Drosophila melanogaster: one gene and its partner. The protein of the gene in region 1 interacts with the protein of each later gene in a pairwise test. Each region holds a gene or a part of one and is shown on either strand. Other genes may lie near its edges.

Region 1 (7,992 bases):
CTTCTCGATCGTCACGAGAAGTTGTTTTAATTGACACTGAAAAGCCGTCGCCATCATCGCACATCAGATTTCCCAACAACGGATTCATCAGCACCGTGGGCTTCCATTTGCGAGTCCAATAAAAACGCTAACGAGGCGAGGGTGCTCACAGATACTCAGATACTCTGCATGTATGTCTAAGATATTGTATCTGTATCTATAAATCGGGCAGATGGACAAGCGTAGGAGGGTTATCGCAGAACAATTAATTTCCAACCAATAATTGCGAGTTGAATAGGGGATAGGAAAACTGGTAAAAATATGCCCATAAAGCAATATGTCCATAAATGACAATAAATAATGCTAAAACATAAATGTTTTTTTACAATTTCATAAATTATTTGAATACTTTTGGATATCCAGATGCGTAAAGTTCGAGTACTTTTTACACTGAATCCAAATAGTACATTTTAAAAACTAAGATGATGCTAAATATATAATGGCCCTTGTGGAAATGTATAGATAGTAACATTATATTTAGCCTGTGTGAATGAGACCGGGTGACCCAGCCAACCATATACAGTACAGTACAGCCTGCCCACAAAGAAACCCCTTGTTAAAAACCCACCTCCTTGTGAAAATCCCCCCTTGTTGGAAACTGGCAAAGCCGTGCAAAGTACTCGTGATAATGAGCTCCATCTCGTTGGCAATTATTAAATGAAGTGGATTTATACGCTGTGGCCCCCTCCCCTTTCGACAATCGCCCCTGCCAACACCCATCCCGCTCACTCCAACGGAACAAAGCGTCCAACCCCTTGTTAGCAGCTGCTAATACTGTTGTCCCGTTCTCTCGCACACAGATACTGCTTGCAGCCAATCAACGCCAGTTGTTGGTTTATCTCGCTCAGTGGCTGTGGAACATGGAAACGTCTTGTGGATTGCATTTCCACATGCAGAGAGACTGGGGCAGAAAAACACCAGTGTGAAGTGGTCTATGGAAGAAGGTGCTTCCACTGGAAGAACCTAATTTTAGTCGACTTTAATTAGTTTGCTGAAATGCTAAGTAAACCTTATTCGAAGAACATTATAATTGTTACTGGACAGTCATTAAAGGATAAACCGAAGCTTAATTGTAAAGCAAATTAGGCGCTTTGTTTCTTCTCTTTATGTATGTTTATTTAATGTAAATAATGTTAGTAAATGTTTGTTGAATTATACAAAGTAAATTCAACGAAAAGATGTGTAACATATAAATTGATTAATTTTAAAATCCATTTTCATTTAACAGATATGCTTATCGTATTTGTTCGAACTAAAACCTGAGTTACACAAGAATTAAACAAATGTATCTCAAATATATAATTTTACATCTACCGAGAAAAAGGCCCTAGAACTTGCATCGCGTTTCGCGAACTGATAATGCAGGCATTTGCTGCATTTTATCTTTTTGTGGGCCCTCCTTCTGGTCATATATCAAGTGCGGTAAATGCCAAAAAATACGCCCACAAAATCATTGATTGCCGATCGATAACCTTTTGCGGTGATGGAGCATCCCATAAAGTTCTCGTCCCAGCTCATTGTCTGACTAATTAAATGATTTATCCCGAATCGTGAGGCAGAGGAGCTGGAAAGGAGATGGGAAAGAGTAAAAACCAATTACAATTACCGCACCCAGAGGTGCCACACTCACAGATATAGATATATGTATACGTGTATACATGAGTGCATCTGCGGCAGCAAAGCTGCTGCCCCACCGACAAGCAACGGCCTTATCTAGATGCATACAAATCCAGCCAAGCGCACGTCAATTTATTTGCCAACTCTCGCCTCCTTTCTGGCCAACATCCATATCCATTCATGGCCAAAAGGAGGAGAATCGCATGTATTTACCTATGAGAAGGCTGCGAAGTTGGCGCTGCATGTTTTATGCCTCCTCCTGCATCTTTAACGAGGTGTTTATTTTCACAACTCACAGCCAGCGGATGAGGATGCGGATAGGGATGGGGATGGGAATGGGGATGGGGATGGGTATACAGATACTCGGATGACCACGCACAGATACAGATGCAGATACGTTCCCTTCCCAGCACGCTGTATCTGTATCTGTGAGATTCGCGCAGTTGCAGCTCGCCGAAGGTGTAGAAACCAAGTTACCGCCCATTTTCGTGTCCAAATGCTTTTGGCCAACATGATGCAGATGCCAATTCAGAATGGTAGAATGGCCAAGCGGCGGGGGGAGGGAAAGTGGTTTATAGCCAGCACTGACGACGGGGCGTCTAAGCTATATAAGCGATGACGTTGATTCCACTGCACAGTGGTATCGGCTCGATATCCTTTGAAAAATGCGTATTTTCTACTTTTGAGTTATGTACAAATTTGAACACTTTTTAATATCGATTTTCCAGTAGATAGTAAATAATTTAATACATGAAAACAATTTAAAAACGGTTACTGATGAAAGATAAACGTTTAAGCCTTAAATATTTCAATGAATAAATACAATTCAATTAAATAAAGTTTCAATTTTTTTTTATTGTTAGTATTTGCATAATTAAAAGAGGGCACAGTTCGCTTTTCAATTTTAAATGTTATATTTATTATATTTATTTTTAATCATCGAAGACCTACTTCCTATCCACTGTTCGGGTGCACCACCCCCGTTCCCCCTCCTACGCTCCAACAAACTGGCCAACCCGCTTGGCACTAAAACCACAAACGCTTTAATGATGCTGTTTTGTTTAGCGCAAATTGTTTGTTTCGCTGTCATAAACTGGTGCGAAAAATGGCCAAGAGAGCGACAGAGAGAGAGAGAAAAAGAGAGAGATTGGGGCCCCTCACACACCCACACACCAACAAGCCCAGAGAGCGGGAGAGCGAGCGAGAGAGGAGGTGGCTCCACTTGGAGCCAAGCAGGTTTTCGGAATATCCACTGAACTATTGTTGCGCTGCTTTGGCGCACGCGCACCGAGCCACGTGTGCGAGCGAGACGCCAGCAGTATTGCTGCGCTGGAAGTACAAGCAAAGGAAGAAGAAGCACACTCGAACTGGCCCCACAAACTTTTTGCGGCTTTTTCCAACGCGACACTCGAGCTAAAACGCTCAGCGTGAGAGCCACGCAGCGATTCGCCGACGCCCCCGCCAAAAATCAGGACAGAAAGAGAGAAAGCGAGAGAGAGACAGAGGTTGCGAGCGGCGAAGTGGAGCCAACAATTAGACGCCTTTAGACGCTCCATAATGCTAATGGCGTTGACAGTGCTCATCATCATCGCAGCGCGGCCACCGCAATCGTTTCGTTACCGGGTAGCCGGCATAACCGTTAACCGTTAACTGATACCGCCACCGCCACCGTCAATCGCCAATAGTCAATCGCCAACCATCAATCGCCGCCGTCAATCGTCCAGCGAAGCGGTACGGTCACGCTCCAATCGCCGCGTTGCCGCCGCTCCAGTTACAGTTACAGTTTATCAATGTCACGCCGACGGATGCCAACCGCTGGAGCATCGCAGATACAACGCTACGTAGCTATATAGCTATAGCTATCTGATCGGAAAAACAGTGCGTGTGTGCTTATCTGATATCTAGTAACCATTAACCGATGTACGCGATCATGTTTCCATAGCACCAACCCATTTATTGGGAGCTTCGATCAGTACAACCCTTTTTCCGTTTCCGTTTCTATTCAGTTCAATTCCATTTCAATTTCCATTCCCTTTGATTTTAGTAGGATTTTTACCGTTTTATTTTATTCCTAAAACTTTTAGTTGAGCATTATTCTTTTATTTACTGATTTATCCCGTTCGAAAATACAAAATTTTTTTTTTCAAAAAAGTCAAATATGGAATGGAAAAAATGGAATTTAAGGCCTACAAGTGTTCTTATAATCTACTTCGACTTGCAGAGACTTCGAATCGGGAAGTTTAAGAGGAGGGAAAGTGATTCATTTGTTTTTCCAATCAACGAAACCCCTACCAAATGGTCACCTGCGGCCGGCAAACGTTCAACATGCTGCCCATGGCGCCGACGAGTCCTTTTGTGAGCAGCAGCTCCTCGGTGGCCGCATCCTCGACTTCCGTTTCCGCCAGCAGTACCGTTTCCGCCTCCGCGAGCAGCAAGCCCAAGCTGGCCTTCAGCATCGACTCGATTGTGGGCGAATCCTCGACGAGATCGGCTCCACTAAGGGTCAGTGTGATATCTTCGCCGCCGCCGCGCAGCGAAAGTCCCGCTTCGCCAACGAACACGAACAACAGTGGGCGCCGGACGCCCAGGGGCTATATCTACTGCCGCAGAAGGGATTCGCTGGATCGATCGCGCAGTCCTCAGAGATCACCGGTTAGCCGGTCGCCATCGCCCCCCAATGCAGGAGGCAATCCGGCAGCGGCCGGGAATACTGCAAAGTCCGGGGATCCATCGTCGGGAACGGGAAATCCTCCAACCCTCATCCGTCCGTTGCCTCTGCCGGCGCCAAATCTAGCTTTAATTGGGAACCGCACCTCACCGAACGCCATGGCGGTGCGCATGGCGGGTCCGCCCCACCCGCCGTCGCAGCCACCGCCGTTCCTTGCCGCCCAGTTCCAAATGGCTGCTGCACTGGCTCATCATCACCAGCAGCAACAGCAGCAGCAACAACAGCAACTTCCGCCCGTGCCAACTGGACCGCCACATGGTCCACATCCGCATCTGCCGCCCGGCCAAATTCCACTTGGAATCTTTCCCGGCGGACCGCATCCCGGGCATCCTCCGCCCCACGGACACCATCCGTTCGGGAGTGCGCCGCATCTGATCCGGGATAGCTATCCGTTGTATCCATGGTTGCTCAGCCGACACGGACGCATTTTTCCACGATTCCCAGGCAGTAAGTAATCACACTGTTTTAAATATATCTATTGTTTATTACAATATTTTCAATAAGTTCAGAGTTCAGAGAAGCTAACCGGTTTAGCAAGCGGTACTTTCATATGTATATAAAACCGCTAAAAATTATTTCTATAAATTGAAAAATATAATTTTTATGCATAATCATCTAAGCTAACAATTATTTGTAATAAATTTACTGCAAAATTAATAACAGTTTATATAACAATAATACATATCATTTAATTTAATATTTACCCTATTCTGATAATAAGAGTACATCTCTCTTTTACGGATTATTAGAAAGATAGTTGTTACATATATATTTTTCATATTTGAACATTAGAATATTATGATAGTTTACGGTCGGTTTCTTCTTCTGGAGATAGCAACCACCCCTTTTGTTGGTTATTTTTCGCTATAACGAGTTTTCCGCATTCATTATAGCCGTTTCAAATGGCCGCTGAGTGTTGCGAGCGACAGAGAAAAAGAAACCACACCTTAAGTCATATTCGAAGCCCAGCACCATTATAGTAGAGAGGACCCCAATCAAGCAATTATTCAGTTATCGCTGTTGTTGCCGCGCAGCTCCATATAATTAAAGTTAAATAAGCAAATGGCAAACATTTATTACAAGTTAATTAGACGTGTATCGGGCTCATCATCATCAGAGGGAGCGGGACGGAGAATGGGAGCGAACAGGAAGGGGGGAATGTGGAGGGAACCGAACCCATTTTGATAACTATTTCCAAACAAATTACATTTTAATTAAATTGTTTAAACAACATTACACACATCGTTAGGTCAAGCAGCGTACCTAAATGGCCAGCCAAGTGTGTGAGTGTGTGTTTAGCATTTATTTGCTCTATTTATACTTTTTCTCTTCACTCGAAATTACCATTAATGGCCAACAGACGGCGCCAGTTACTCATGCGGCGGGCCCATGCGGCGTATGTGTAACGTACGAAAAGTGCAACCATTGAAATGTTAATGCGTTTTTAATTGAGGTTTTGGGGCAACCAAGCAAAGAACCGAGAGGAATGGTAAAAAAAAAAAACTGGCAGATAGAAGCGAAGAGCCACCGCAAAGCGCATCTCAAAAACATTGTCATTTATTACGGTTTAACCACTTTTTTCTACCATTCCGCTGCTCTCATGATTACCATTTGAATTTCCAGGCCATGTTGGTATCCATGTTTTTTTTCGGCCGGTTAAATATAATAATAATTTTCGGCACACTCACACGCCTTTCACCTGCTTAAGTGTACATGTATCCCCGTTACGCCTTAATTATGTTGTACTCCGTTTCATTATTTTCTCCCTTTCTACTTGTTTTCCCATTTCCCGCCGCTCCTTCTCTTTTTTCTCACTTTTCTCCGCGCCGCCTGTAATTTTCGCTTGATTTATGAACGTGAAATGTCAATGTTTCGCATAACGATTTCATTAATTGTAAATGTTTTTCATCTCCGTTTGTTTTGTAACTCGTGTGAGTAATACCAGGTTACATGGGTTTGTTTTTCTTCCATTTTTTCCCGATCTGGAGTAAGATAATGGGGATCATCGCGATAGCGACGGTGATGATACGTCAGTAACTCAATTCAGCTTGCACGTGCTGCAATTTCTGGGTGTTGCCCTCTAATGCAGCCGTTGAAGTTCTGGGAAAACGGGTTAAATTAACAAGGCTGAGATCCTTATTATGGAGGGCTTAAATAGAGGGCACTGTAATTGGACAAGCTGCTTCGGGATTCCCATTCTAAAGGCTTACGAGTTAGCAGCTAACAATTAGTATACCTCATAAATATGTATCGTTAGAAATCGAATTTACGCATTAGAATATTTAAGTTGTATTCCTTAGTATCACTGCTCTATTTTATTGGTATCTTATGTAAATCATTTTTCAAAAAGAAGTATGTATGTATTTATACTCCACAGCATAAAACTGTAAAATCAAGTTTTTAAGTAGTGTTTTACCTTTTACTTCGCCCATTTATAAAATTGCACATTTCAGTAGTACATTGTTCAAACCCATTATCCCAACAAACCCACAAAATTCCATTCATACATCCCGACTGCAAATGGCCATTCCCGTCAAATCGATCATCACAACACATCATCCCCGTCTGTCATTCATTTGATTTCAATTATCGATTCCGAGTCAATGTCCTCGTACGCGGGACATGCGAGGAATGCAATAAATTAATGAAAAAATCATGAGAGCATAAAAATTAAGCCCTAACTCGGTAAAAAAGAAAGCAAACACAATTGCACATAAGTGATAAATAATAGGGCGCACAAAAAGGCCAGGACAGTCGAACAAACGAAATCGAAACGAAACGATCCGGCACTTCCATCATGGGCTAAAAAATAAGGTACACTCGAATCTCTATATATACAAAAAATGACAGCTGACAAGGGTGTGAGCCACTGCAAAAAAAAAAAAACAAAAACCATAAAAAACAACAACTTGGCCAGCAGAGCGGACACATCAATTAATTGTCAATTGCGCGTATTTTCGCACGGCGGTTTCCTTTGTGTCCACAAAGCTGGAGGAAAAAAAGGAAAAAGTGGGAAAAACTACACACACACTTCATTGAGAGCTGCTGCAGAGCTAGAAAAAATAATTAAGTGGCCATTGTGAGCGGCGGCATTATCAATTATACAGCCTCTTCTAAGATACAGTCGTGTATCTTGTATCTTGCAGCTACATTGTTAGCTGTCAAATGTAACAAATGTCAAGCGATCGTGGGCTATATAAAAAAAAAAGAAGAAGCCGAACTAGATCACTCTGGATGCTACCTCCTGGCAATCGTTTGTCAAGTTCATAGCAAAAACCAGGCACGCAGTCAGTCCGCCGAGTCAGTTGCATCTGTCAGATACGTGGATACATGGCCATCAATGGTGCGAGGCTGCATTTATGAAGTGTCGAATTGACAAGTTCCCATTCCCATTCCCATTCCCAGTCCATATCATTCCCTCTTCCCTTTTCATTGTTATTATTATTTTTTCCAGCCCGGCGGTGCTAACAAGACACAAGATACATTTCTGGGGTTGTATCTTGTATCTAATGGCTGCGCACCCTTTCTCCTTGTATCCTTTCTCTATTAGCTGTTTATTTTTGCAATGGCTTAGCTTCTGTTGTATAGCTTGTGTCGTATTTTATGAA
Region 2 (5,137 bases), on another chromosome or scaffold:
TGACACATCCTTAGCACACACATGATCTGAAAGTGATTAGCTTAAACTTGCCTCGGTCCTCACATCATTATTAGCATAATAATAAAGTTGTTGGGTCAACACAAAATCACCAGCATATAAGCCAAATATCTTTCTAATTACTTACAAACAAGTCCCAAACCAAAAGCCAGCCCAAAAACAATGCTAAGCTTAGTTACATTGGACAGATAGAAACACCAAGCCATTTGCTAATCTCTCAACAAAACCCCAAATCCAATCCTTTCGCAGTTCGTTATAGTACATTTTACGACAATGTGATAAACGTTTTAGGCAAATATTACAATAATAATTGTCAAACACTTTCGAGGAGTTTTTGGAGCCGAGGCCTTTTAGGCTGCACTAAACCAGATTTTGTGCCACTTATTTTGTTGGCATTTTCGTTTTTATTTACGAGTTCTTGGTGTTTACACATTGGCTGATTCACATAAATTATGAATTCTTCGAATTTATATGATGTCTATTTGTATATAACCAATTGATAATGTATGTGCGGAAAATTCTAAAAATACCAAACGAATGTGTAAATTTTGTCTACTTGTATTTGGATTTGATTTATTTGTTAAATGTTGATTTTTTTCGATTTATGAGCTTGCAGTGTGTTTTGTCCTTGTGCTGATTTTTGGCAACACTTTCGCTGTTTTTAATTGTAGGACTTTTTTAATTGTTCTGTTCTGTAATATTAACTATAGCATCGATTTGTAACGCGTTTTAACAAAAAATTTGTACGGTAAATTCAATCAGATTGTTAAAACAATTTACTTAACTGCAATATTTATGCCGTCATAATAGAATTTAAATTTCCATCTTAATCATTTGCGTAGGAAAATTAATGGGAAATGTGAATAATTCAAACAGGTCCATTTATTCATTGAAAATTAAATGCTCATGCTATCATGGACATAACGCAAATCATAAAGCAATTCGAAATTTATGCAAAATATTGAATTGCTTATTTGGTCTTTAATATCGGCATGTCAAAATTTAATTCAGATTGCAGCATCATTATTCAAATTGCCTTTCTTTGATTTACATACCGAAAATTCACAAAGCATCAAGCAATACCGCAGACATTTTGCGACAATTTAAAATGATAATACATACATATTTAATTTGCAGCATTTTTTCAGTAAAAACTAAATACAAAGGGAAATTGAAATATCTGTCAGGCATTCCGTGTCGAATTAAAATAATAATTTAATCGCATAGAAGGGTCCAAAACTAACAATGTAAAATTGATAAAAGTAACCAAAGAAGGAGCTGAAAAAAACCAAATTAACCGCGAATTACAAATCAATTTAAATGCAGCAAACTTTTTTTCCAAAAGCCCAACAATGAAACTTCTACTCGTTATTCTATTTCCGCGCAGAAGGACGAAAACTTTTAATTCAATTCCTGTCTCAGGCATGTCAATGAGTTTGTCTTTGCGGTGTGAGACAAGTTTCGGGCCTCTTTTGGCCTCTCGAATGCAACATTTTCGGTCGTCGCGAAGAATGGAAATTTGTTTGGTAAATTAAAAGTACTTAAAGTGCAAGTCAAGATCCCAGCTTCCCCCCAACTAATACCACGTCCTTTGCTCCCCCGTCTCATCTGTGGCATTATGTATTCTTTTTTAAAACATGCAAAATCACGTCTATGCATCTTAATAACTTTTCGTGCTCGTGCAAACAATGCGAACGTGAAAGTTGAATAGGTTTGGCTTAGTTATCAGAGGGTTCCCGTCTTCGTTTTCGCAGGAGGAAATTTTCTGGGGTCTCGGGCAGGTTGCTCCATGGTCTCTCAATGCATAAATCAAATGTACATATTGTAGTTGAAGCTAAACTTAATTTAGTTTCCGGGAGTTCCCAACAAGTTTCGGATATCGAGGGTGGATTTGGAGCACAGATAAGGGGAAAGTAAGAATATTCCTGGTGGTGCGGATGTTTGATTTTTGAATCTGGGTAGGTCTCAAATGTAAGCAGTAGTTTGTATTCAAGTATTTAAGACTGTTACAGTTATTGGTTAAGGCAAGACAGATAAGAATTGTATCATAAGTGTTGACTTTCCATTGTTAACAACTATAATTTCTTAGTGACACTCGTTTTGATTCGCATATCTCGAGGGAACAATAACTTCTTAAGCTTGCCTATAGTAAAACTATAGTATTGTATAGCTAGTCCTGAGCCAGCTGCTATAGCCGTGACCATAGTCATAACTTTGTTTAGCAAACACATCCATTCCCATTCCGAGGCACACATGAAACAATTGAATCGAAAAGAAACCAATCAGTCAACAGGGGTATTCCCCACGTAACCCACCGAGGGCTGCAAAAAACCAGTCAAAAAAAAAAAAAGTAACAATACAAAAATTAATTGATGACGTGCACACACGCATACATACATGAACACTCACACAGCCACACAGATGACGCACCAACACTAATTGGCAGCAGGAACAACGTGGACCACATATGCATGTATGCGAGGATATAGCCTGGAAGTCGATTTGATAACCGTGCACGATATGATGGGCGGCATGGATCCCTTCCGCTTTGGTTATGAAACATCCGAAAAAGGGGACGCTGTAACGGGATTTTGGAGGCGGCTCGGTGAAAGGGTGAAAGGGGCGTGAACACGGCCAAATCGATGCAGACATAGACGAGCAACAATCAATCAATTAAATGCCTGAATGCAGCTCCAAACAAACCGAGCCACGATAACCATAACATGACCCACCGGATAATGTTCGGCATGCAAAAGTGAGATTGACTTTTAGGCAGACGGCAACACTATTAAAGATTTATTCTTGTTTCTCGGCTCGTTCGAATCTCCGATTTTCTCTGGGATAGTTGGCCAATTTATGTGACGGACTGAAATTTTTAAAGCTCTCTGCAACAAACAAAATTGAAATGTTGCACGATGTGGCAAAGAATACATTTTCTGTTAACCATTTCTGTATTGGCAAGTAATTCCAGAAATGGACAACTATTCCAAGCATCCATCTGTTTAATGGGTTAAATGCGAGATAAAATATTTGAAAATTTTAAAGGCAAATATTTGTGTGTGCTAGAATGATTTTTGATTTATAGTATTTGTCAATACGAATTCATTAATTCTAAAACTGGTGTCCAAAAGTACTTAATGGTCATTAAGCCATAAATCGGACCTCCATCAGATGCGCAATTAGTCTGGCCATTTCAGAGAGCTAAGCTATGCTATGACATACTTAATAGAATCATAAATTTTAATCATCTACCGATTAATACTTGTAAAATATAGAGAAAACGTGAATTTCCAGACGAATTCCAAGCTGCCAATCAAATCAATGGTGATAAGAAACAAAATTCTGGGAGACATTCGAACAAGAAATTATTTATTAATTTATGGCATTCGTGCGTTCCTCGGCTCTGGCCACATTGTTCGGCCACGTGCTTTCGGTCCTTTCTCGCTTGAAGCTTATATCGATAACCACAATAGACGCCAACTCGAAACCACGTTTCTCAATCGTCCGTCGAAATTCCGGAGCCAGATCTTTCCAAGCTACTAGATCTTTGCAAGCTAACGCGAAAAAAAACCAGCTTTGCGATGAGTGCGGAACCAAGTCCGGTAATGAGTCCCCAGCAGCAGGCCGAGCGGGAGAAGGTGTACCAGTTGATCATCGAGCTGGCCTATCCTGCCACGCGGGAGACCGCTCTGCTGGAGCTGAGCAAGAACACCTATGCGGACCTGGCCCCCATGCTGTGGAAAAGCGTCGGTACCACCTGCACCCTGCTGCAGGAGATCGTCAACATATACCCCATAATAACGACGCCCGTTTTGAAGGCCAACCAGTCGAACCGCGTGTGCTACGCCCTGACTTTGCTACAGTGCGTCGCCTCGCATCCGGAGACTCGCCCGGCCTTCCTGCGGGACCAGATACCGATGTACTTGTACCCCTTCTTGTCGACCACGTTCAAGAGCAGGCCCTTCGAGCAGCTGCGCCTGACCACGCTGGGCGTGATTAATGCTCTGGCCGAGACCGGTGATACGGAGGTCCTCATCTTCCTGATATGGAGCGAGGTCGTGCCTCACTGTCTGACCAATATGGTCAGGGGATCGAAGCTGACCAAGATCGCGGCCACTTCAATCCTTGAGAAGATACTGCTCGATGAGATGGGTCTGACGTACATTTGCGAGAACCACGATCGCTTCTCGCAGGTGGCCATCACCCTGGGCAAAATGGTCATCCATATGTTGAAGTTTCCATGCCTCCGGGTGCTGAAGCATGTGGTGCGCTGCTATCTACTACTTACGGAAAATGCGCGCGCTCGCAGTGCACTTAGAGTGTGTCTGCCGGATCTGCTGCGTGACGGCACCTTCACGTCGCTCGTGCAACATGACACGTGCACCAAGCAGTGGCTGCAGATGCTGCTCAAGAACCTGCAGACAAACGCCGTCAACCCAATGGGCTCCTCCTAGAGAAGCGCCCAACAACTTTCGTCACTCCACCGTCCATTCAAGCGCCATCGATTAGTGATACCCACTCCTAGTTAACTGCTCGACCGAATAAACATGGCCTACATAATCTACAAATGAAATTATGATATTACTAAAATTGACGGTACAATAAAAAATATCAAATATAAAATATCATAGCTCCTAGCTCATATTTATTAATAGTCACACTAGGCATACATCTTGACCAGCAAGAGACCCAGAACGCTAGACGCGATGGCAATAGTGCTGCTGCTCATCTTTCCGGCCGGATTCTTGTTGCACTTGTCGCCCGAACAGGTGAGACACCAGGTCTTATTGTAGTGAGCATAGGCCGGCTTAAGTGCTAAGCTGCAGGCTCCAACATTTGGATGCACACAGCCATGGAGCTGATGGATCACATCGTTATCTGGCAAGTGGAAAGTAGTTAATAAATCTTTATAGTCCGCTTCTGGGGTCCCCACGCTACTCACTCCAGTTGTACTTCAGAGCCAGGCAATCGAATCGCGTGCTGGTTAGGTTGCCAACATTCTGATGATAGACACCCAGGTAGTAACTAGTCTCATTCGCAGCCGCATTCGTGCAGGTGACTTTCTTGGGACTCTTGCAGTCCTTTGGCGTTACGCAGGTGTAACACTTCAGGGAATCAG

The links. The genes of interacting proteins can lie anywhere in the genome.
Region 2: the proteins of E5 (region 1) and Rcd-1r interact in a two-hybrid assay, tested with the Drosophila melanogaster proteins (one large-scale study listed by BioGRID).

Annotation. Positions count from the first base shown.
Region 1 is NT_033777.3:13,870,139-13,878,130, reverse strand, and holds the start of E5 (E5), read left to right. Parts: upstream 1-3,214; 5' UTR 3,215-3,534; intron 3,535-3,877; 5' UTR 3,878-3,951; coding exon 3,952-4,831; intron 4,832-7,992.
Region 2 is NT_033779.5:9,012,385-9,017,521, reverse strand, and holds Rcd-1r (Rcd-1 related), read left to right. Parts: upstream 1-3,453; 5' UTR 3,454-3,599; coding exon 3,600-4,472; 3' UTR 4,473-4,637; downstream 4,638-5,137. Other genes in the region: CG13102 (uncharacterized protein), read right to left, coding at 4,679-4,896, 4,961-5,137.